Linked DNA regions of Astyanax mexicanus. The protein of the gene in region 1 interacts with the protein of each later gene in a pairwise test. Links are inferred from orthologs where the notes say so. Each region holds a gene or a part of one and is shown in the gene's direction. Other genes may lie near its edges. The genes, in order: lhx4 and chchd2.

The links.
Region 2: the proteins of lhx4 (region 1) and chchd2 interact in binary tests that used the Homo sapiens proteins (3 or more experiments, as listed by UniProt). The two-hybrid records come from large-scale screens. The link is inferred for Astyanax mexicanus from reciprocal best matches to the Homo sapiens genes LHX4 and CHCHD2.

The regions. Positions count from the first base shown.
Region 1 is NC_064419.1:9,337,612-9,349,846, reverse strand, and holds the start of lhx4 (LIM/homeobox protein Lhx4), read left to right. Parts: upstream 1-7,082; 5' UTR 7,083-7,093; coding exon 7,094-7,373; intron 7,374-11,296; coding exon 11,297-11,468; intron 11,469-12,235. UniProt on the Homo sapiens protein: May play a critical role in the development of respiratory control mechanisms and in the normal growth and maturation of the lung. Binds preferentially to methylated DNA.
Region 2 is NC_064411.1:44,409,449-44,422,270, reverse strand, and holds chchd2 (coiled-coil-helix-coiled-coil-helix domain-containing protein 2), read left to right. Parts: upstream 1-8,104; 5' UTR 8,105-8,260; coding exon 8,261-8,307; intron 8,308-10,352; coding exon 10,353-10,623; intron 10,624-11,184; coding exon 11,185-11,365; intron 11,366-11,768; coding exon 11,769-11,779; 3' UTR 11,780-12,042; downstream 12,043-12,822. Other genes in the region: serine/arginine-rich splicing factor 7, read right to left, coding at 1,841-1,913, 2,681-2,767, 2,858-2,902, 3,596-3,634, 3,909-3,989, 4,513-4,689, 5,334-5,563. UniProt on the Homo sapiens protein: Transcription factor. Binds to the oxygen responsive element of COX4I2 and activates its transcription under hypoxia conditions (4% oxygen), as well as normoxia conditions (20% oxygen).

The DNA.
Region 1 (12,235 bases):
AACACCTGTTATTTTAGTGTGGGAGGTTTCATGGTTGAAATTGAAGCAGCCTGCTGGCCAATCTTCATTAATTGCACATTGCACCAGTAAGAGCAGAGTGTGAAGGTTCAATTAGCAGGGAAAGAGCACAGTTTTGCTCAGAATATTGAAATGCACACAACATTATGGGTGACACACCAGAGTTCAAAAGAGGACAAATTGTTGGTGCACGTCTTGCTGGCGCATCTGTGACCAAGACAGCAAGTCTTTGTGATGTATCAAGAGCCACGGTATCCAGGATAATGTCAGCAAAACACAAAGAAGGACAAACCACATCCAACAGGATTAACTGTGGACGCTGTAAGAGGAAGCTGTCTGAAAGGGATGTTGGGGCGCTAAGCCGGATTGTATCGAAAAAACATAAAACCACCACTGCCTGTTTCCACCAGAGCTGTCCGTTGGGACAATAAATTATTGTGGTCTAAAACCAGTTGAATATTGTTTTTCCAATATTCTGTTGTCCGATTTTGGTGAGTCTGTGCGAATTGTATCCACAGTTTCCTGTTCATAGCTGACAGGAGAGGCACCTGGTGTGGTTCTTCTGCTGCTGAAGCCCATCCCCCTCAAGGTTGGACGTGTTGTGCTGATGTTTAGAGATACTCTTCTGCAGACCTCGGTTGTAACAAGTGGTTATTTGATTGAAGTGGTTATTCAGCTCACCTCTGACCTCAGGCATCAACAAGGCATTTGCGCCCACAAAACTGTATCTGCTCACTGGATATTTTCTCTTTTTCAGACCATTTTCTGTAAATCCTAGAAATGGTTGTGTGTGAAAATCCCAGTAGATCAGCAGTTTCTGAAATACTCAGACCAGCCAGTCTATTCTAATGCTCAGTTTGAAATGCAGCAGATCGTCTTGGCCATGTCTGCATGCCTAAGTTGCTGCCATGTAATTGGCTGATTCGACATTTGCGTTAATGTGCAGTTGGACAGGTGTACCTAATAAAGTTGCTGGTGAGTGTATACACATATATTATAGGTGCAATCTCTCACTAAAGGGTACACTACCCAAAAGTAGCCTATGAGAGCCTTTTTATAGGGCTGTAGAGGAAGCACTGTTACACGTTCCTGACAAACATATAGTGTACTATATGTATAAAAAGGTTTAAAGAGGCTCCTTTTGGGTAGTTTACCTCCTGGTGAGAGATCGTTAACTGCTAGATATGCCTCTGAGATGCACTCAAATACATTTTGCCCTGTTTACAGGTTTTGAGAGGAGGCACATCCTTGGATTGATTGAGAGATGCAGGATGGTCGATTTGATGAATTGCCCTTCATCTAGGCAGTCCAATGCCAGTCAAGATCCAACGTCAGGCCATCATCACCTTTATTTGCAGTGGTGTAATAAAGAGAACCTTGGAGTCACACAGATCATCGGAAATGGATCATCTCTAGCAACAAATCCTGGTTCTGTTTAAGATTGAACAAATGTTCAATTAGAGTATGGAAGCCTCAGGATGAGCGATTTAATCCTGCCTTTGCAGTGGAGTGACACACTGCCCAAACCACTTGGGTGTGATGATCCAGTGAACCATCGTATACAACCGTTGCTCACTACTAGTACTGATACGAGGAACACTAACAGCTCAGTAATATTTGTAGGACATCCTAATGATGTGTCAGGGATTCAAACTGGCAATTTTCAGCAGGACAATGCTCACCGACGACCACAAGGGTCTCCCAAAAATGTCTTTATTCGCCTGTCTGGTTGCCAGATTGGTCCCCAGTCGAGTATTTATGGAAGCATCTGGAACCTCAGTTTGGCCACCAGATCAACCAGATCAGTGTAAAGGATCTACAGGTCCAGCTTTAGCAACATCTGTGGGAAAATGTGCTGCAGGTTGCCATGCCAAACCTGTATAACTCCATGCCCATCCGTCTCAATCTCTTCTTGTATCCAGGGTACTAAAGCCTTATTTCAATTTTCCATTTTTTCCCCCAATAAACTTACATATATCATCATCACATTCACACACAGACAACAAATGGATCTGTGTGTGGAGCCACTGCAGTCAGCAACAAGATGAATGGTTTGTTTTTACTCAGGTCACATTTCCCCAAGGTCATAGTGTGGGGTGTAATTTCACATGATGTCAGATCACCTTTGATCTTCATCATAGCAACTTGGACTACTCAACGTTACATTGAAGAGGTCCTGCAACCAGTGGCCAATGGCCATATGCTTTCTAAACTCTAAACACTTACAGTAGGTGTGCTTTTCCAAAAGGACGATGCCACGACTCAGACCAGCTGTAAAGCATGGTGGAGGGGGCATCGTGGTTTAGCATTTATTAAGGGAATAATTACAGTAGTTCAACAGTGTCCTGAAATATTTACAAAAGCATATAAGGGCAACAGTACTCAAGCATTGCTAATACAATAGGACACTCTGGAGCAGATATCCAAGCATGAACCTATTGGCACCACTATGCCTAATGCTAGGCGTGGGCATACTTCAGTGTGTAATAAAGCCCCCAGCAATATTCTCTGGAATGATGGAGCACCATCCAATACTTTTGTATGGGATGAGTTGGGGATAAGGTAGGGTTGATGATCCAGATCCAGATCAATGCTCCAGAATCTACAAAGTCTTCTCTGGACAGTAGAGACAGTTACTCCAGCAAAAGCAGGATACACTATTGTTAATATCCTTGATTTCAGAAGATACAATAAGTGAGCTGGTGTCCCAATACTTTTGTCCCTATATTGTGTGTAAGGGACAGTAGTGTCTTAGCGGTGTTTACGACTCGGACAGCCTGTCTGCCTGTAATAACAAAAGCCTGGCACCATACACACTGCACATCTGTGTGTGTGTGTGTGTGTGTGTCTGTGTGTGTGTGTGTGTGTGTGCGCACGCTCAACATGAGAGTGAATTAATTAAGTAAAGAGATGAAAAGGGTTAATATATGATCTGCTTATCAGATTTCATCTTCAACCCCCCCCCCCCAACCACACACACACCAAATTTTACACTGAACCCTAAAACTGGAGGTAAACAGGGTCACATTCAAATGAAATGGTCAAATTCATCTCATTTTACTGCCTGACTCCTCCCCCTCATGCATAAAGCATACACACACTGAAGATTGGAAAGGAGGGGGGAGGTGTGTGTGTGTATGTGTGTGTGTGTGTGTGTTTCTTTATGTAGAATGAAACACACAGCTAAAAGAGTCATAATCTAAATTTGCTCTTCATTCTTATCTTCTTATATTCTTATCTTTAAACATCTTCATTCTTGTCTTGCCTTATTCTTCAATATCTAAACCCCATCTCAATCCATCTTATGTCTACACCATTATATCTACACTATTGCACTTTATTCCTACCTCATTTCTCCCAATTCTACATCTTTCCATTTAATTACTACCCCATTTTACCTCATTTGCACCCCCATTCCGTCCAGCTCTTACCCCATTTCATTGTCTTTACCATTACATTTCTCTCAATTACTACCTAATTCCACCCCCCATTCTTTGTAATTCCTACTCCATTTGAACTCATTCCATTTAATGCCTACCCCATTCCAACCCAATTCCATGCCATTTTTACCCCATTACATTTAATTCAATGTTTATCCCATTCCAACCCATTCTATTTATTTCTCACCCCATTCCATATCATTCCTACCCCATCCCAACCCATTTCATCAAATTTGTATCCCATTCCACCCATTCTATTTAATTCTCACCCCATTCCGAATCATTCCTACACCTTCCCTACCCATTTCATCCTATTTTTATCCCATTCCACCCATTCTATTTAATTCTCACCCCATTCCGTATCATTCCAACCCCTTCCCAACCCATCTCATCCTATTTTTGTCCCATTCCACCCATTCTATTTAATTCTCACCCCATTCCATATCATTCCTACCCCTTCCCAACCCATTTTATAACATTTTTATACCATTCCATTCAATTGCTTCCATATTCCGTTTAATTCTTACCCCATTCCCTCCCATTTTTTATTCCATTCTAACTAATTAAATTTAATTTCTACCCCATTCCAACCTATTCCATTTATTTGCTAACCCATTTCATATCATTCTCACGCCATTTCATATCATTTCTACCTGAAAATAACCCATTTCATGCTATTTTTATCCCATTCTAACCCATTGTATTTAAATGCTTGTTGTTGATTATTTGTCCTTCCACCAGATTCTGTATATCTGATTTGAGACAATTTCAAATATATCTCATACTCAAACTCTATTCTACATATTTGATTAAGAAAAAATCATTTCTTATTTTATGTGATTATATTATGTTTTTAGGTATTTCAGGACAAATAAATAACATGACGTTTTACATAAAACAGTAAAATGACATAAGTAGAGTGTATATACAAATATGTAACAATTCTAAAAGGAGTCGCTGCTCGAGCTTCCTCATCTTATAATTATCAAGTTGTAAATTTGCATTTGTTGGCCTGTGTAAGATGAAGATGAGGAAGGTGATGCAGAAATGGCAGACACGGTATGAATTAGTTCGGTTTCACCAGCAGCAGATCACTGAATGACTGATTAGATAATCCAGCGGCTCGAGGAGAACTGGAGAACTGGGAACACTGGTCTTTCTGCAGGAGAGCTGGAAATGGTTAGACACACTTTGTACACACATACTATATATATGTTTTTCTTTTTTAAATCATGTTATATTATAATTTGTTAATAGATATATTTATGTTAATTGTTTTTTTGCCTATATTCAAATATAAACAGTGGTGTTTTTTTTAATTCCACAAAAAACTTTAAAAAGGTTTAATTCCACGTGAATTTGCTTCTAATAAACCAGTCGCAGTCAGTGATCATAATAAATTAAATATTTATATAAAATACTAAAATGTTTTATATCACTAAGAGTTGCGCGCAGTGTTTATGTTGCTGTTCTTCCTCCGCGTGCCGTCAATTACAGCTCTACTGAAGATCGATACATTCAGCAGCTATTAAAACACGTGACCGCTCTATCTGACTGATGTATTAGATATTGATAGTGTATTTATTAATCGGGTGATGTGTAGGGGTTATATGTATATTTATGAACAATAGTGTATTGTAATGGCAGATATATTTGTATCTATGTTAGCGTCTGAATGTAGTGTGTATTCGGTACTCTATTGGTATTTCTGAGTATACTTAATTTGTATTGCAGCTTTAAGTTCTAGGTATTAGTACTGAGCTATATTCTGTCAATTTAAATATTTGTATTGTATTCAGTATCAAGACTAAGACATATCGAGTCCAAGTCAAGACCAAGATCCGGAGTGTCCGAGGCCGAGACTGAGACAATACATTTAGATTTAGATTTAGATTTAAAAAAAAAAGGAAAAAAAGCTTTGTAATTAATTGTACATGTATTATATGTACATTATATGCTGTACAGTAATACTTATATTTAAGTATGTATTCTACAGTATAACATTAAATAATATATAGAATAAAAGTTCAGTTAATAATAAATGCTACCCTCATACACACGTGCTGGATCAGGCAATGAGATCGAGCCCGAGACCAGACTGAGACCGCTCGTTTATGATCTCTAGGCTCGAGCTTACATATTAATATTAATGCAAGTAAGATAAGCGAGTGTATTAGAGACTGTTGGCTGAGAGGAGAATCTACATCCTGGTTTATCCGTGTTTTTTTTAAAGCTGATAACCGATCTATACAGAGTATAGCGCTATTTTTATTAACGCATCGTGGATATAAATTGAATGTGTGTGTGTATGTGTGTGTGTGTGTGTGTGTGTGTGTGTTGGGGTTTGTGTGTTAGGGGGAGGTTCTAGCATGAGTCTCCTCCTTCTATTATTAGAAAGCCCACAGATATCTCACACTTGTATTTATAAGCGCGCGCGGTAATAAGGTGCTACCGCATATATATTTGCCTATATATATATATATACTTTTATTAATTCTATATACATAATATTTACACACAATATACGACGAGGTGTTTTTTTTCGTTTTGTCTTTCAAATACACTAATACTGAATTATCAGTAATAATAATAATAATAATAATAATAATAATAATAATAATAATAATAGTTAAGCTTGTGATTCACACACGCACACATATTGTAATGTAATAATGATGATTGATAAAGGTGATTATGGTAATAGGTATGGTACTGATGACAGTAACTGGTAATACTAATTTATAATAGTTTATTTATAGTAATGATAATGGTGTTAATAACAATGATCATGATGTTTTGGTAAATCTGCTGATATTGGTATGTGTGATAGTGATGGTAATTGTGTGATGAGAATGATTATCATGCTGGTGTTTATGTTGATGTTGAATTGGATGATAATGAAATGGTGATGATTATGACATTGATAATAATATAAAGGATGGTGATGCTATAATGCTTAGAATAATGGAGTACAGTGGTGATGGCAATGATTACAGAGGTGAAGGTGAAAAGGACAGTCACACTAATGATAATGGTCTGTCTGTCTGGAGCAGCTGTAGGTAGGAATGTGTAACAGAGTGGAGGACAGTGAGTGATTAAAAACTCCAGCAGCACTGCTGCATCTGATCCACTCACTGTACACCCGCACAACACACAAACACCTCATACACCACCACCATGCTGATCAGTTCTAATTACTGCAGTGCTGAGAATAACGACCCACCCAAATAATACTACTAATAATAAAAATAAAAATAATAATAATAATAATAATAATAATAATAATAATAATAATAATAATAATAATAATAATAATAATAATAATAATAATAACTGATTTGTGGTGGTTTTCTCTACTGCGGATCCTGAGTATTAAAGAACAGAATAAAATGAGAAAAATAATAAAATATGCAGAGAATCAGATACAGAACTACAGTCTTATACATCTAAATAATGTCTTATATGATCAGTGCAACAGAATAAAATGGAAAAAAATGTTTTGAGAAATGTTCTGACTGGACTATTTATAATTCTCTCTCACTCTCGCTCGTCGTCACTTCCTCTCACCTGCGTGGGGCGCGCGCATCTCTCGTCTCTGCCCGGTGGTGACGTCACGCGCCCTGCAGTGGGAGTGGATGGATGGAGCCGAGCGGAGCGCACGCACACACACTGCCACACACGCGCGCGCACTTACACATACACACACATACCCGAACACACACGCGCACCCGCACACCCTGCACCGCACGAGCCCTTTACCGGCTGGAGCGCGCGAGCAGGAGCGGAGCCTAAGGAGCGCGAGCCCCAGCGCCGGAGACGGAGGAGTTTTACCGGCGCGCGCGCGAGGAGCAGGACAGGGGGCGAGGATGATGATGCAGCGCGCGGGACAGAGCGCGGACACGCGGGGACAACACCGTAAGAACCACACACGCGCACACATACATACCTCACACACACTCATACACACACACTCATACACACACCTTACATAAACTCATACACACACCTTACACACACTCCTATACACACACCTTACACACACTCATATACACTCCTCATACACACACCTCACCCCCACACACACACACACATACTCAGCTTGGTTGAGTAACACACGCACACACACACATCAGGTCAAATAGGTTTAATAACTAACTATTATTGATCATCATTTAATATACCCATAAAAATATCATGTATGATATAGAATTAATTATGAAGCTATAGAACACACGCGCACACATTTCGTGTATTGCATCACTGCTGACATTGATTCAGAGCAGCGTCACTGATATTCACTGATATTCACCAATACTACATTGCGATAACATTGATCATATTAATTATTACGATTGTATTGGTGACATCCGGATTATTTGTGCGGAACATTTATTATATTATTATGATTTTATTATAAGTAAGCGATCAGATAGTGTCTGAACAATACTAACCCTGCACACACACACACATATATAAAAAGACAACCAAGTCATAATTTATATTTTATTAAAATCAAGCGATTTAAAAATAAATTAATATCATATTGTTTGCTTTTGCATGAGTAAATTAGAGTAAATTGCAGGAAACACGCAGGCGCATCATTCATTCCGCTGCATGAGCTGCAAAAAAATTTCCACCCCCGAATGATTAAAATGTTACATTACAATATAAACCCGTTATTTAAATGCATTAAAACCGCATTTAATGATCTTTCATATAGCGTAAAATTAATGTCGCGCTCAATAACAGGTAATCTAACATCACTGCAGTTAAGCAACTGATAAAGCTTAAATATTACTTTTATAGTATATATTAATAATAGCATTAATAGTGTTTCTTAAAGTGGGAATTACCCATTATATTATTTATTCCCCTATATTCCATTAGTCCACAGCTGCTCTTCATTCTAATCTGGTTTAATCTGAAGCTGCTCCGGATCAGCAGATGGATTATTTAACGAATAAACACAAACAGTACACTGCTGTAAATATAAAATATGAGATATAAACACACTGCATTCACTTGATTTACTTGATTCTGATTCTAAACTCAAAACATTTAAAATAAACCGGGTTTCACTAACAATAAATTCTGCCGATCTGGTCCTGTTTATTTTATTTTAGGAACGCGCAGTAAAACTGCTCATTAATTACCTCAATTATGACTTATAAATGATAAATATTTTCTGTACAAATAAGCTCATATTAGACTAGATTTCAGCTCCAATCACAGCTATTATTCGTGCACCTTTAATTAGTGTATATTCTTATTCTTGTTCTTCTTATATACAGCTCTTATTCTGTTATTGGAACCGTTAACGTTGGTCAAGATTTTAATTTTCATGATTTCTAATCGATATTATTATTAAAGATTGCAATATTTGTTCTTTGGCGTAGTAGTATTTATTATTAGCGCCATAACTGTTATTAAGGACAATCATATTTGTAATAACAGTCCAATTTATAAACCTAAACATCTGTAATAGCACTACAGAAAGATATGATCAGATATGTTCGGGGTTATGGCTTTATGGTGGTGTTGTTATTTTGTTATTTACTTTTTTAGCGTGATTAGTTGTTAGAAATTTGTTGAATTAATGTTATTAAAAGTGTCAATAAAGAGAGGTATTAGTAGACCTGTTTTAATTTTTTTGAAAAAAAAAAAAAAAGTATATTGTTGAGGTTTTACCTGTAAATTCAGAGTCCTGTGTACACATTCAGATGATTTTAGGTTTGAGACAGATTATTTTAGATTTTTTTTTTTCATTAACATATGAGTTTACAAAACAATACATTTATTAACGCAAAAAAAGGAATTCTAAAAAATAAATCTAAACCTCAAAAGGGTTTATCTGGTATTACGAGCAAAAACAAAAACGTTATAGAACCTTTTTTTCAGTTCTGTACAGTACAGTAGTGAACCTGTAGACAGTTCTGCAGAGAAAACTGTGTCAGGTGTAAATCTAATACAGGAGCAGGAGAGCGCGGACGGCGCGAGCAGTGACCGTTCAAAATGAAGAACATCCGAGTGCTGAGTATTAATAATAATAACCTGACAGTAAAGAACATTTAATATACGTTCATTGTTTGGTTGTGTTATGTCGTTTAATGCTGATGATGGAAAAGGAACATTTAAACAACCTTTATTTAATATTGACTCATGGGCATCAGTTACAGTTAGAATTTTGACATTTAATCCACGTTTTTTGGGGCTATTTAACACTCAATGATTTTATGCGGAAGGTACTCCCCACAAATAATAATAATAATAATTATTATTTCAAATTCGCTTTCGGCACTGCAGGGACACAGTACAATCATATAAAAGAATGGAATACAACATGTGTGTGTGTGTATATATATATATATATATATATATATATATATATATATATATATATATATATATATATATATATAGATAGATAGATAGATAGATAGATAGATAGATAGATAGATAGATAGATAGATAGATAGATAGATAGATAGATAGATAAGAAATACGTATTTGATTATATAAGTTTTATACTAGGAATAACGCTTAAATATGTTAAATCAACATCTTAAATAAAACATCTGATCAACGTTATTTCAATGCATTGGAACGTCGGTTTAACATACATTTGCTATCTGAGTATAATGCTAATGCTAATAATAACAGTAATAACAATTTTAAGCCAATATTTCCAGCACTATTAATAAAACACCAACTCAAATATTTGCACTAAAGCACTGCTATTATTAAACACTAAAATTAATATCAGTATTAATTGGTTGTTTGTTTAAAGGCTCAGTATTATTCTCTGATCGCCACGCGCACACACTCACACTGAACCAACATAACGGGTTATTTACATTATTTAAATAAATAAATAAATTAACATCTTTGGTGATGAATAAGGTGTGTGTATCAGTCAGGCGATGCTAGTAGTGTTTGTTGAGGTATTTTACAGGTGTGTGTTATCAAGTGTAAACGCTTTAAATCCGGTTCATTGTGTTTAGATTTGATCTCCCGATTTGACGGCGTTTCTGTGTATTTTCTGTGTATCCGCGCGCGCGTCTTGTCGTTATGAGCACAGGTTGCGGGATGTGTTATTGATTATGAATGATAAATCTGATATTTACCGCGCCGAGCTTTTCTAATCTTTGATCGATTAAAGCGGCTTTAGTGCACTCAAACCAAAACACCCACCTCATACCTCACACACACCTCACACACACATCACACACCTCACACACAAACATCACACACCTCACACACATTCAAAGATAAAAACACTTTATACATATTGAATATCAACAGTAATAACAATACAAAAATATAATACGCTATTTATAGAGCATCTCAAACTGCTTTACTGTATTGTGAAATACACACGTAATTAAATGTAAAAACAGTTTATTATTATTATTATTATTATTATTATTCGTAGTGGTAATAGTAATCTAATCATTCCTATCTTTTCATCACCACCATCAACTATTTAACAATATAATATTAATATATTCATTTAATATTTTAGATTATTCGTGTTTACGTTCTGATCTACAATTCAAAATGATTATAATAAAAATGCAGTGTGTTATATTCAATTTTACTGTCTATTCTGGGAACACACATGCACGCACACACACACAATCCACTCATTCTCATTCACACACATTCTTTAACACACACACACACACAGATCTGGACAGAATAAATTAGGCAATAGAAGGATGGGACTGGATCAGAACGTGTGTTTTACTGAACAGGTAAATAATAAAACAAATAACAGCAATGAATAAACCTTTCACATCTGTGTGTATGTGTGTGTGTGTTCGTGTGTGTGTGTGTAGAGTTGCCGGAGTGTGCGGGCTGCAGTCAGACGATTCTGGATAAGTTTATTCTGAAGGTTCTGGACCGGCACTGGCACGCTCAGTGTCTGAAATGCTCAGACTGCCACACTCTGCTGGCTGACCGCTGCTTCTCCCGCGCTGGGAGTGTGTACTGCAAAGAAGACTTCTTCAAGTAAGAGAACACCCAGTACACCTCATCCTGTTATAAACACACTATTACACATCTATTACATGTCTCAAAAAACTACACCAGCCAAAGCACCTGTTACACACACTTTATCACACATCTATTACATGTCTCAAACACCTACACCAACCATACCACCTGTTATACACACTGTATTACATATCTAATACATGTCTCAAACACCTACACCATCCATAACACCTGTTACACACACTTTATTACACATCTATTACATGTCTCAAACATCTACACCAGCCATACCACCTGTTATACACACTTTATTACACATCTATTACATGTTTCAAACACCTATACCAGCCATACCACCTGTAACACACACTTTATTACACATCTATTACATGTCTCAAAAACCTACACAAGCCATACCACCTGTTATACATCCTGTATTACACATATAATATACTTCTAATACACTTACAACAGCAACAACTTAACCTGTTAAAACAATATATTACACATCTATTACACATATAATACACCTACACCATCTACACCTAAACCTGTTATACACACTCTATTACACATCTAATACACTTACACACTCTACACCTAAACTCTGTTACGCATCTAATACATGTTCAATACACCTACACCATCTGCAACTAAACCTGTTATAAACACTCTATTACACATTTAATACTTGTCTTATACACCTACACCATTAAAACCTTAATCTGTAATAAACAATCTATTACTCTTCTAATACACAGCTACACCACTTGTAATAAACA
Region 2 (12,822 bases), on another chromosome or scaffold:
GTTACAGTTGACGAACCTCTGTCTAGAATTTTGTTGGGTTACAGTAGACAGACTTCTGTCTGAAATTTTATTGGGTTACAGTAGACAGACCTCTGTCTAAAATTTTATTGGGTTACAGTAGACGGACCTCTGTCTGGAATTGGTTGGGTTACAGTTGACGAACCTCTGTCTGGAATTTTGTTGGGTTACAGTAGACAGACTTCTGTCTGAAATTTTATTGGGTTACAGTAGACAGATCTCTGTCTGCAATTTTATTGAGTTACAATAGATGGACCTCTGTCTGAAATTGTATTGGGTTACTGTTAAAAGAACTCTGTCTGAAATTTTATTGGGTTACAGTAGACGGACCTCTGTCTGGAATTGGTTGGGTTACAGTTGACGAACCTCTGTCTAGAATTTTGTTGGGTTACAGTAGACAGACTTCTGTCTGAAATTTTATTGGGTTACAGTAGACAGACCTCTGTCTAAAATTTTATTGGGTTACAGTAGACAGATCTCTGTCTGCAATTTTATTGAGTTACAATAGATGGACCTCTGTCTGAAATTGTATTGGGTTACTGTTAAAAGAACTCTGTCTGAAATTTTATTTGGTTACAGTAGACGGACCTCTGTCTGGAATTGGTTGGGTTACAGTTGACGAACCTCTGTCTAGAATTTTGTTGGGTTACAGTAGACAGACTTCTGTCTGAAATTTTATTGGGTTACAGTAGACAGACCTCTGTCTAAAATTTTATTGGGTTACAGTAGACGGACCTCTGTCTGGAATTGGTTGGGTTACAGTTGACGAACCTCTGTCTGGAATTTTGTTGGGTTACAGTAGACAGACTTCTGTCTGAAATTCTATTGGGTTACAGTAGACAGACCTCTGTCTGAAATCGTATTGGGTTACAGTAGAAGGAACTCTGTCTGAAATTTTATTGGGTTACAGTTGAAGGAACTCTGTCTGAAATTTTGTTGGGTTACAGTAGATGGAATTTTGTCAGACCAGAGCTGAATAAATTCTATCAGGATACAGTTGACAGAATTTTACTGGACTATATCCAAAATTCAATCTCTATAATGCAAATTTCTTACTGTTAGAAACTCTATTATTAGCTATGAATTTTTGAATGGTAACAATACTGTATCTTTAATAAAAACTTTTACAATTTATTTACATGGAGTTTCACTCTCTCTTACCTAACATTACATTTTTACTGATGAGATCAGAAATCAAGTTTTAGCTAATCAAATCAATCAGGGGTCAGTGATCAATCATGCTCTTTAAAATGGTATTTAGAATAAAAAAAGGAGAAAATTAAGGGGACAAGTCGACAAGAGCATGTTAAAAACAATGTTGAAATGGAGGCCTTTTCAATTATTCACTCACTCATTCACAGCGGTGTTAATCAGTGCATGCTCTACACACACTGCATAAAGCAAATGTTTACAAAAGAATCTGGATTTTACTGTAAACCAGGGCTCATATCAAGAAGGACATTAACTCTTGGGTTTTGGTTACCTTTAGGAGACAGTGGCGGAAACAACATACAGAGAAGCGACGGATGCTAGAACTCGAAGACACACTCGGAGGGTCTTGAAGTCTGATCTCTCGCCAGTTCTCTCTCCTCTCTCTCTCTCACAACCCTTCTCAGAAGCTAAGCAAGAAGGCGGAGCTTTGGAGGGAAGGGGGGCATTCTGGTCTGCTGTAGTAGTAGTAGTAGTAGTGCATAGGTTCGGGATAGGAGTGGGGTGGGTGGAACAACTGTTTGTGTACGCGCAGGAGGTGTCTTGTCAGAACTGTGCGTCGGACGATCTCTAAATCACCGTGGCGGAGGCTGATCTCAGGTTAGCTCTTTTGTCACCCTCCTGGAGGACGTTTAACATGGCAAGGATGAACCCTGGTCAGTGCTTGAGCCGTCGACTCCCACACTCTTTAGAGAAAAACAAGAACAGCCTGCAGCAATTGGTCACCGCTGTCTGATCATGACATTTTTTTTTGGAGATTTGCGATCTCGGTCACCCTCTGTAGCTAACCAACATGAGGCTGAATCTGAGGGAGAAGAGAGAAGAGAAGATTCCCCAAGTTTTATCACACGTCCCTCCCCTTACCGCCCTTGGCCTTTAATAATATACTGGCTCTTGGAGTCTAGGCTCATGAGGTGTATGTGTGTGAGTTAGCTCTGAACCTAAGTGTGACGTGGACAAGACATTTTAGACTGTAATCTCCAAAAAGGGATTTTTCAAGTTCTTAATGAAGTGGGAATGGGCTGGGCTTGTTTTTGGAGTGTGTCAAAATCCCTAGCCTCTAATTTTCCGCCTTTCCTGCACCTGCTCGGTCCATCCATCTCCGTCGAAGGGTCTCCATCTGCTTGGTCAGGCTAAAAGACTGGCTTACCTCAGATGTAAGCTGGTCTTCCAGGGAAAACTGTGTGCATGTATGGTGGCCTAATCTCAATTTAACCAAAATAATTTGTTCTGACTAAGAGCAGCCAAGTAATCTGAGCTATTCATAAAGGCTAAATCACTTCCTTAATATGTGATAGAAATGTATAGGGACTATAAAACATTCTAATCGACATATTTTATTATATACAAACATGCTTTCAAACAATTAAATAATAGAGCAGAAAAAATATAAGGTCATAAAAGTAACAAACTAGCAGATATTATAATACAATGATTGACACCAAAAAGTTACCTGTCCCTCTTAGCGTTGGGTGTGCGAGACCTGGATCGAGAGCGAGATCGCGAGAAAGATCTGGACCGAGAGCGAGACCGAGACCGACTGGAAGGAAACAAAATCAAATGGCAGTTTGAAATAAGGGCTGATTCTGGACAGAAAAAAAGTAAAATTGGTTTGAGACTGATTCCTTACCTCCGAACAGGAGTCCTGGACTTGGAGCGGGCTGGAGTACCAGACCTAGGATTAGGATTACGATTAGGGTTGTGATTTTGACTGGAAAAATGGAAGCGTATTACTTTTTTAGTTAAATGATTAGTCAAACTGTGTGCTACACTACACTTTGATAAATCAAATGCGATAAAGCATTCAGCATCACTGATCACAGCATTTACTTATCAAAAGACTGTCTGTCTTTGTAAAAACTTTAAAGACACAAATAACTTGGGTAGCAGTGCTAAAGTAAATATATGACAAAGATAAAACGCCTCACATAAACATATGACTAAAAATGATTATTACAGTATTGCTGGTATTAATATATCGTTCTTTGCTGGTATATGTGCTGGGATGTAAAAGTGATAATTTTGGTGCCTCACTGAACATTACTGGAAAAAAGGTATTTGTTTATTAATAAAAACCAAACACATAAGGACTGTAACAATTTTAAAATGCAAAAAAAAAAAAAAGCAAAAAAAAAAAAAAAAAGATTACGCTGACAATACTATTCCTTATTACTATTATAAGAACTGTACCGCGCCTCTACTTCTGCTTTGTATTTGATTATTTTCATGCAACACCAAGGTTAAGCATAATACCATAAATTAAAATCAAAAATATGTCCTCAGGTGCTTTAGCAGAGTAAAAACATTATTAACATTTGCAATGACTGATACTGCCACAGTTATCTAACAGCAAGTCACAACAGCTTACCTGCTCCTGCGTTTTGAATAAGATGGAGAATGGTATCTCCTGCAAAATTAGAAAAGAAAATATGTAAAGTTTTGAAAGTTTTAATAGTTTCTACAGGCTTCATCTACTCATTTAAAAAAGTGGGGTAAATTCTGTTTTCTAATAAGAGAGCTCTAATCGGGCCACACAGTCCTTAAAATTATGACCTACTGTAATAGCACCTAATATGCCACATTCAAATAATTAAATGAATAGACTTCACTTATTTTTTTTAATTATTCTAAGTATTAAACACAATTCAGTTTGAATATAATAATTTTTAAAAATGTTCTACCGTTCATTGCTGCGGCTTCGGGAGCGTGAGCGGTTGCGTCGTCCCCTGGACCTGGACCTGGATCGAGAGCGAGATCGAGACCTACAAAATAAACAAAACTTGTAAAATCGCAAATATAGCTTTTTTTTTATCATCTGTCATCCCTTAATAACAACAATAACTTAATAATAACAATGTTAGTTTCTTGCTCTCTGCTGGTAGTTTGATAGTCATATTTTTGATAATTGTCACACACAGCAAATTCTTACTCTGTAACATTTACCGGTTTAAAAATCTATATACACTTGTCATACACTTATGTTTCACATCTGTTTTAGAAGTGTCTCTCCGTTTTTAGCAAAATTCCAAAGATATTGCAAAATATCAGAAGACTGACATTGAAAGTGATGAATTGTGTTGAAAAGATAAATGTTAAGGCCAACAAAAGACCACCAGACTTAAAAACCTTTGAGACCTCACGATCATTTTGAAAAATATGAAACAAAATGTATCCAAAGGCTATATAAAGTTTGCACACAGTGAAGAAGTGTGTGGGAAGTAATTAATCTTCTTATTCAAATACCATAACAATGTGACAGTCTAGCTTCATTAGTGATGGTTTTACCTGCTACGACGCCCCCTTTTGCTGAAGCGGTAACAGTCATAAGCGTAGTGTCCTCTGTCTCCGCACTGATAGCAGCGATCATTTGGGTCAAACTGGCGGCGGTTGGGTCGACCAAATCGGCTTTTCCGGGACATGCCGGTGGACAGCTCGACGCGAATCCGAGATCCACAGAGAACCCTAAAAAAGGATATGGACAATAGAGTTGATGCAGAACTGCCTGATGTATTTTTCTTATGGTCACTTTAATTAATTACCTTGATTATATCTAATAGGTATTGACCTAAAATATGTGGACTTTTGTTAAAAGTCCAAAAAATATGGTCCATACATTTTTACTATGTGAATTATTTCAGAATTCTTCTAGAAGCAAGCATCAAGCTGCAAGTTGATGAATGACTTCCAACCAAATATTAATGTCCTTTGTCACAAACACTGTATATGTATGTTTGTTTATCTTTAAAAAAATAACAGTTAAAAATGCATTTATTATAGTCATGCTATTCAGGTTCATAATGAATATACAGAAATTTCTAACCACATCTGTAGAAACTGTACAGTATATGAGTAATTGCTTTACTTTTTGTGTCTTAAATGTGGCATTTTTGTTTTCTTTAATTGCATGCTAAATTGGTCTGTAAGCTGGTTTTTTTTAAATAGAAAACAGAATTTGATAAAAATGCAATATATAAAAAGTGGAATGGTAAGAGAAATATAATATATATATATATATATATATATATATATATATATATATATATATATATTTTTTTTTTTAAAGAAAGAAATTTCCAAATAACTCTTTTATTCATTGATGCACCTACTTTCCATCCATTCCTTTCACAGAATCCTCTGCATCCCGGGCATCTTCATACTCCACAAAGGCAAAACCAGGTGGGTTCCTTGCCACCCAGACACTGCGCAGAGGGCCGTAGTAGCTGAAAGCTCTCTCCAGCTCAGCTTTAGCAGCTCCACTGCCCAAATCTCCAACGTACACTTTGCATTCCGAGTTGCGGGACGAGCCGCGAGATGATGAGGAGGAATAGTAGGACATCCCTCACCTTATCTGAAAAAAAAAGAAAACACAACAATTAATGACTTAACAATATGAAAAAAACACTATTTGTACAATTGTCAACATCAGACACTATTATTTCATTATTTTTTTCCTTTTATTGTTTTGAATTTAAATGTATTTTTTCACATTTATTTGGGTTTTCGTATTAACTGTATTATTCATACTGGCGTGTTTTATGACATTGTGCACTACCAGTCAAACGTTTTAGAACATCTCTATTTGTAGTAGTCCAGTAATTAGCAGTGCTGTATTGCCCAGACAAGCTGCTTTTTATTTTCTTATTTTACTGCATTTCACCTGTCAGACCTATAATTCTTCTCTTCACTGAGACTTAGTCCATTGTTAGGCGAAACTAAATGTGTTGCCATGGAAGTCAGTCAGACGTTATACTGTAACGTTACAAGTTTTCTCAAATTTCAAAGAGTTTTTTAAGGTGTAGGAAACAGTATTCACCGCTCTCTGGTTCCCTCTGTAATTTCTCTAAAAATAAATATTTATACTTCCAATAGTTACAAAGGTATCTGTGTTTCTGTAAAAACGAAAGCAAGAGAAGCGGAAAGAGCTAAAGGATTAGCTGTTCTGTCTCCAATTTAAAACACACAAAATACAGGTTAAATGTACACTTTCCAGCTGTTTATATTGACATGTTATGGCTTAGGTCTGGTTGTTTATAGGTTAACGTTAGTTATATTGTTTTGTGTTCTGTATGAAATTCTATGTGTTGCTTTTAGCTAACTATAAGAATAATAAATGCGACTCCTGCCAAATTTCCAACGATAACATTAGCTAGCTAGGCTAGCTGGGCTAAAGCTATCTAGTTTGGCTAATGCTAGCTAGCTAAGTGGCTAACAAACTCGACAGGCTGAATAACAGTAAATCTCACCTCTTTACTTTATTATTATATCCAGTGTTCCGTAGCTTCATTAAACAGCGCACTGTAAATAAAATAGCGCGATGTTTTTTAGATTAATAACAGACATCAGACACAAAGGAGCTGGATAGCGCTATCCGCTCTCTCCGAAGCTCAGAGGGAGGATCAGTCTGACAGCAGGAAGCGGAAAAGCGATGTATCATTCATTTTATTTTATTATAAAAAATTAACAAAACTGTAAGGCATTATTAAGTTATGAGACAGCGATATACTATTATATAAGACACATTTACACAATCAAGCAACAAAACAATAAAAATAACTTTTTTATTAACAGATTAAATAATAAATGATCTGATAAAACAATTATTTAAAACAATTAAAGACAATTAAAAATAATATTTTATGGCACCTTAATAGTAGTGTTTTCTATTAATTAATAAAGGTCTGTATCACTTTTAGATTTCATTGTATATATTTATTAAAATTAACATTTAAAATAAACATTTTTTAGTTTTCCACTAAATTGGAATTACTTTGTGGCTTAATATAATGTTTACACTTTATATATATATATATATATATATATATATATATATATATATATATATATATATATATATATATATATATATATATATATAAATGTTTATACATTATTTTAAACTCAATTCTTAAGTACCAAACATATTTCCTTGTTGGTGTATTTTTTCAGTAGATATTTAAAATAGATATTAATCATATTTCCTTATTTGTTTGGTATTTATTTATCTCTCAATAAGACCATTGGTCATTCTATGTTTATATGTATGTGTCCCAAACTTGTATTGTATATTGATATTACAATTAATACAAATATTTTCCACTTCATGCACCACCCTCTGACATTAGACTGCTCTCCGTAGACAGGAGTTTACTATTTATTACTGTGTGCAATAAAACGTTTTACCTATTGCTGCTGTTAGTGCTGCTCTATTATGTAATATCTAAATTAAAGAGGACTGGCATAGTCATAGTTTACCACCACCATCACTATGTGCATATGTATTATATTTCTATATTCTGTTGTATATATAGTAAATTAGTAAATATAGTATATTTATTTGTATATTTACTTTTTCTGTTCATCCATCCGTTCTGCTGTAACATTGCACATCATATATGTTATTAATGTTTATGATGAATCTTCTACTTATTCTTCTATTTATTTATCTCTCAGTAAGACCATTGGTCATTCTTTATTTTTATTTATGTGTCCCAAACTTGTAGTGTAAGTTATATTGTTATTACAAATTTTTGACTCTGTCTAGCAAACCAAAAATGGTTGGACTTTAACAATATATCAAGTATTGTCTTATACAGTAGTGTACACATTATCCAGACAGAAAACATATTTCCAGAATGTAAATTTACAAAAGGTTCTGTTTGTGTGTGTGTGTGTTTTTTTTTAAGGAATCTGAAACACCTGATAAATGACATTCAGGTCGTGTAGTTTTAGTAAAGCCCGTAATAATTAAAGAACAAATTAGAACAGATCAGAAAATAACTGAAAACACTGTAAATTTAAGAAATAAAATATTTTTAATCTACTTTTATATTGAAAGGCCATGTGATGTAACTGATATAACATGCTGGAAAGTTCCCCGGATGTTTCGTGTTAGCTAGCAGACAACCAGAAGGTCGAGCAGAGACTCAGGCAGCTAGGGAGCTTATCTTAGTTAACTACCTTAATTCACACAATCTCTAGTTAATAGAGAGACTCAGAGTTTAAAACTTGGTTGTAGTTTATTATATCGTTCAAAATGCCGAGAGGAAGCCGCAGCCGAACCTCCAGGATGGCTCCCCCGAGGTGAGATAACTGAAGCCGGGTTAGCAGCGGCTAATAGCGGTTTACCTGATCTGTCAGCTCAGCTAGAGGACCAGGCTTCAGGGATTTAGCTTAGCTAACCTACAGTAACGCGCTGTTTACATATTAACACTGTAGCTAAACTGCATGAAAGAGATTATTAAAAAACACGTTAAGCTCATAGTGTAGCAGGTAACGTTAAGGGTTAGAATAAATATGGTTGTACCATGTTGGCCACTGTAAAGGTTAATAATCTATTTTAAGGACATTTGGGGTTAAATAGGTAATGGCCCAAAGTAAAATTTGTTATTTTTGAGTAAGTTAACCCAGCGTTTCTCAACCTTTTTTCTATCACGGCACCCTTTAAATATATGCGAGATGTCAAGGCACCCCAGTTTACGGACGGGGGGTGGGGGTGGGGGGGGGGTGCTGGCGCAGTACTTCAGGTGAGAACGAGGGGTGTTGCTGGCGGAATATGAAATAAAATAGCGCGTGCATCGCGTGGGGGGACAAAAACTTTACAGTGTGTCCCAATTTAGGGGCTGCATCCTTCAGAGGCTGTATTCGAAGACAGATTGCGTCACAGCTGCGCAGTAATACACCGCCTCTGTGGGTCGCATCCTTCAGAGTATGCTGCCTGTGAATTGGGACACACCCCGACACGAGCTGACTCTGGGAAGGAAATATGCACGTGAGGCGCAATATTTTGACGGCACCCCCGATGAAGCCAGACGGAACCCCAGGGTGCCGCGGCACCCTGGTTGAGAAACACTGAGTTAACCCGTATGATAAACAACATGGCCATCCCAAGCTTGATCAAAATCAGGCCAGATTTTTTGTCAATTGTCTTCCTGACATTACACCACTAAATTTCTAGAATTTCTATTCAAGCATTACATAAAAAAGCGTTCATGTTTAATAAGGAACATAACGGAAAAGCGTACTTGTAATAGAACATATAAAAAGTTTGAGTAAATTTGCTAATGTCAAAATTTAATGAATAAAATCCTAAAATTAGCTTTATTTAAAAATCAATGTTTTTCAGAATACAAATCTGAAAAATCCTCAAAATCCCCCCCCCCCCCCCCAATAATCTTTATCCATTTTTTACATCTGTTTTCAAACATGCAGAATTTGTGTTGATTCCTGTTACTGAAATTGGAATTATTAAGTGGAGTAGAGAGTGAACAGGCAGCTTCTCCTGTAGCAGGTTTCAAAGCCCTCAAATGTTCAGAATGTAAATAAGTTAGTTTACTGCAGACAAAAAGTGTTTTGTATCACCTACACCTGTAGCCCGTTTATGGAACAATGCATTTTAAGGAGTTAACTCTGGATGGTTTAATTTGGTGGTTTTATTTCATATGATATAATCTTGATTGTAACAGTAAGTAAGCTTATAATCCAACATGTCATGATACTATATAAAGCACTCCATATATCCAGGACTGAAGTATATATCCAGTATTATATAATAATGATATAATAATATTTAATGGGGAATAAAAAGAGTGTAAATATTTTTGCTACAAAAAGCAAAAAAAGTTGTCTTGTACTGGCCCGTATGGCCCTAAAACAATATCACAATATTTCAGGGTATACAATATGGCACACTCCTAACCTTAACCCTCAAAGACCAGACCAAAATCATGGTCTAAATGGAGATTGGCTTGGATACTCCAGATTTTACACTGAAAATGTAATATTAAAGACATTAAAGCTATACAGGAACACATGCAGAATTATTTTGTAAAGGAAACGTAGCAGATACCAGAATATGTTTTATACTTTAGATTCTTCTAGTAGCCACATTTAGCTCCAGCTCATCCCAAATCACCATCTCAGCTGATCATTTTTAGGTCAGGGGGTTGTGGAGGCCAAACACTTGTTTGCTACTTGTTTTCTGCATGATTTCACATGCGTCCATTAACATGTTTTGATGTCTTTAATAATAGTCTGAAGTGTAGAAAATAAATTAGTTATAAAAAAAAAAATCAGCTTTGTACTTATAAACAAAGTGTGATTGACGCATGTTGATCTGTTCTCCACAGCTACTCCTCCCGCCCAGCACCATCACCCCCTCCAATGGCCAGAGCTGCACCTCCTCCATCCTATGCACCAGCTCCTGCCCCTCCGTCTGCTGTGGCTGCTCCTGCAGCAGCACCTAGACAGCCAGGGATGTTTGCCCAGATGGCTACCACTGCTGCGGGCGTAGCAGTTGGCTCTGCCGTTGGACACACTATAGGCCATGCCATGACCGGTGGCTTTGGTGGTGGTGGTGGTGGAAGCTCAGAGGCTGCCAGGCCTGATGTCACCTATCAGGTAATTACTGTATATCTGGCAACCTTGGGTAACCCATAATACATGGTAAACATCTGTCACTAACTATAACTAGCTAAATGTAGCAATTTTAAATACTGTGAAGTATTATTTCAACTGACTCGATAACCATTAGGTATAACCATAATGCATCACCCTCCTTTTTGTTTTTGCTAGCTTAGCAAAGCTATAGTGTGAATTATTGAAATGTGTAAATAATTTATTCTCTATGTATGGAAGTAATTCACAAAACAAGATGTATTTTAATTTATGTGGCCAGCTTTCTACATTTTATACATTTGTTCATCTTTTCAAGTAACATTAACTTCACTAAAGTAGCTTACTGAATTTGTGTTTGACATCTGATATGTTTGAACTTTTTTTTTTTAACTTTTCTATCAAAGATAAAGATTTTTTTTTTTACAATAATTTATTTGTCATATAACATTTGTGGGATAAAACATTATTTCAAGTAAGAAAATAGTATTTTAAACACTTCAATTTACTTTAGTTATGTGTGAAAAATAATTGGGAACTTTATTAATTGCTTTATTAATCCCGCAGGAACCCTATCAGGCTCAGCCCATGTACCAGCAGCAGCAGCCAATGTATCAGCAGGACCAGGCACATCAGAACCCCTGCTCGTATGAGCTCAAGCAGTTCATCGAGTGTGCTCAGACACAGAGCGACCTCAAACTCTGCGAGGGATTTAGTGAAGTGCTCAAACAATGCAAATTCTCCAACGGTATGTTTGTGTGATTTTTTTTTTTCCCCTTCAGTCACTACAGTGAATCAAATAAAACTACAACATATTAATATGAATGTAGTCTATTGTACTGCTAAGTCAAATCAGTCTGAATGTATGATTACAAACACTACTGTGTCATTATTTAGCCTCTATTTTTGCATTTATATATATATTTATTTATTTATAGTCGATGCTTAGGTAAGGGATCATTAATATTTGATGCATATTATATAACACAGTTATGGTATTTTATTATACTGACAAAATGAAATGTGTATTGCACCTTTAGTGGGCACTGTCAGTCTTACTGAATAGCTCTGAAGTTGTTCATTGTAACATATTATTGTGTTCACCATTGTGTTTCACATATTTACTTAATTTCTCTCTCTCTTTTTTTTAGGGATGTCATGAGTTTGCAGTTTGTGACTGGAAAAACACATTCTACATCAGTAATACAGTTTAATTAAAGAAGAGTGCAAGAAGAGACCTAACATTGTTACTATTTCTGTTAAGGAACCATTGTAATTATGCTGTATAAGACTTGTGTGTAATAGATATGTACATTTTAATGATGGCAATGATTCAATGCATATTTTCAGCTTTCTGTAGTTTCAGAAATGTAATGTTAATGAACAACAAAAAAAAAACAATAAACTATAAAACCACTCTTTGAAGCTGTTGTTCCCCTTCTTGGCACTTGCTCCACAAGAGAACACAACAAAATGTGTATAGTTCATTTTGCACATGGCAGCAGGTGCTGGTGGTGATGAGCATTTTCAGCTTTCCTCAATGTTTAGTGTATAAGCAAGCTATGCTGTCATGTTACTAAAAAACCTGAACTGTTGCAAAACTCTGGAGGGCATATTCTTCTTCCCCCTGCTGCCCAATAAAAACTCTGGGTAGCCCACCTCTTGGTCTGAGATCATTGGCTACTAGGCATGCCTCTACATAAAATCGAAGATTGACAAAGTTGAACAATGGATTTACGTTTGGACTGAGAGAAGCAGCCTTTTCGTATTTTTAAGCAGGATAATGCTTGTACACACACAGTAAAAGCCAATTTATACATTGCCTACGGCCTAGTCAGCAAGAGTGCTATGCAGCAGGGCACGTTTGTCTGTGTGCATACGTCTGTGAGCCAGTATTGCACTGGCAGCGTCCAGAAACCCCAAAATACCTCACAATTTTCCTACCAATCCTCCTCTTCTCTTCTGTGACCTGGCAACTGATTTTGTGACGCCATCTTGCCACCTGCCCGAATACCAGAGAGAAGACGAAAGAAGCTGCTTAAAATCCTCCTGGAAAAGTCTTTTAACAGAGGATACAGCACAGCATCCCACCCAGGAAATGGTTTAAATAATTTGTGACATCACTGTGGCCATGCCCATAAAGCACCTGAGCCCACATTTTTTAAATCCAATAATTACTTATTTATTCATTCATTTTTTTTATTG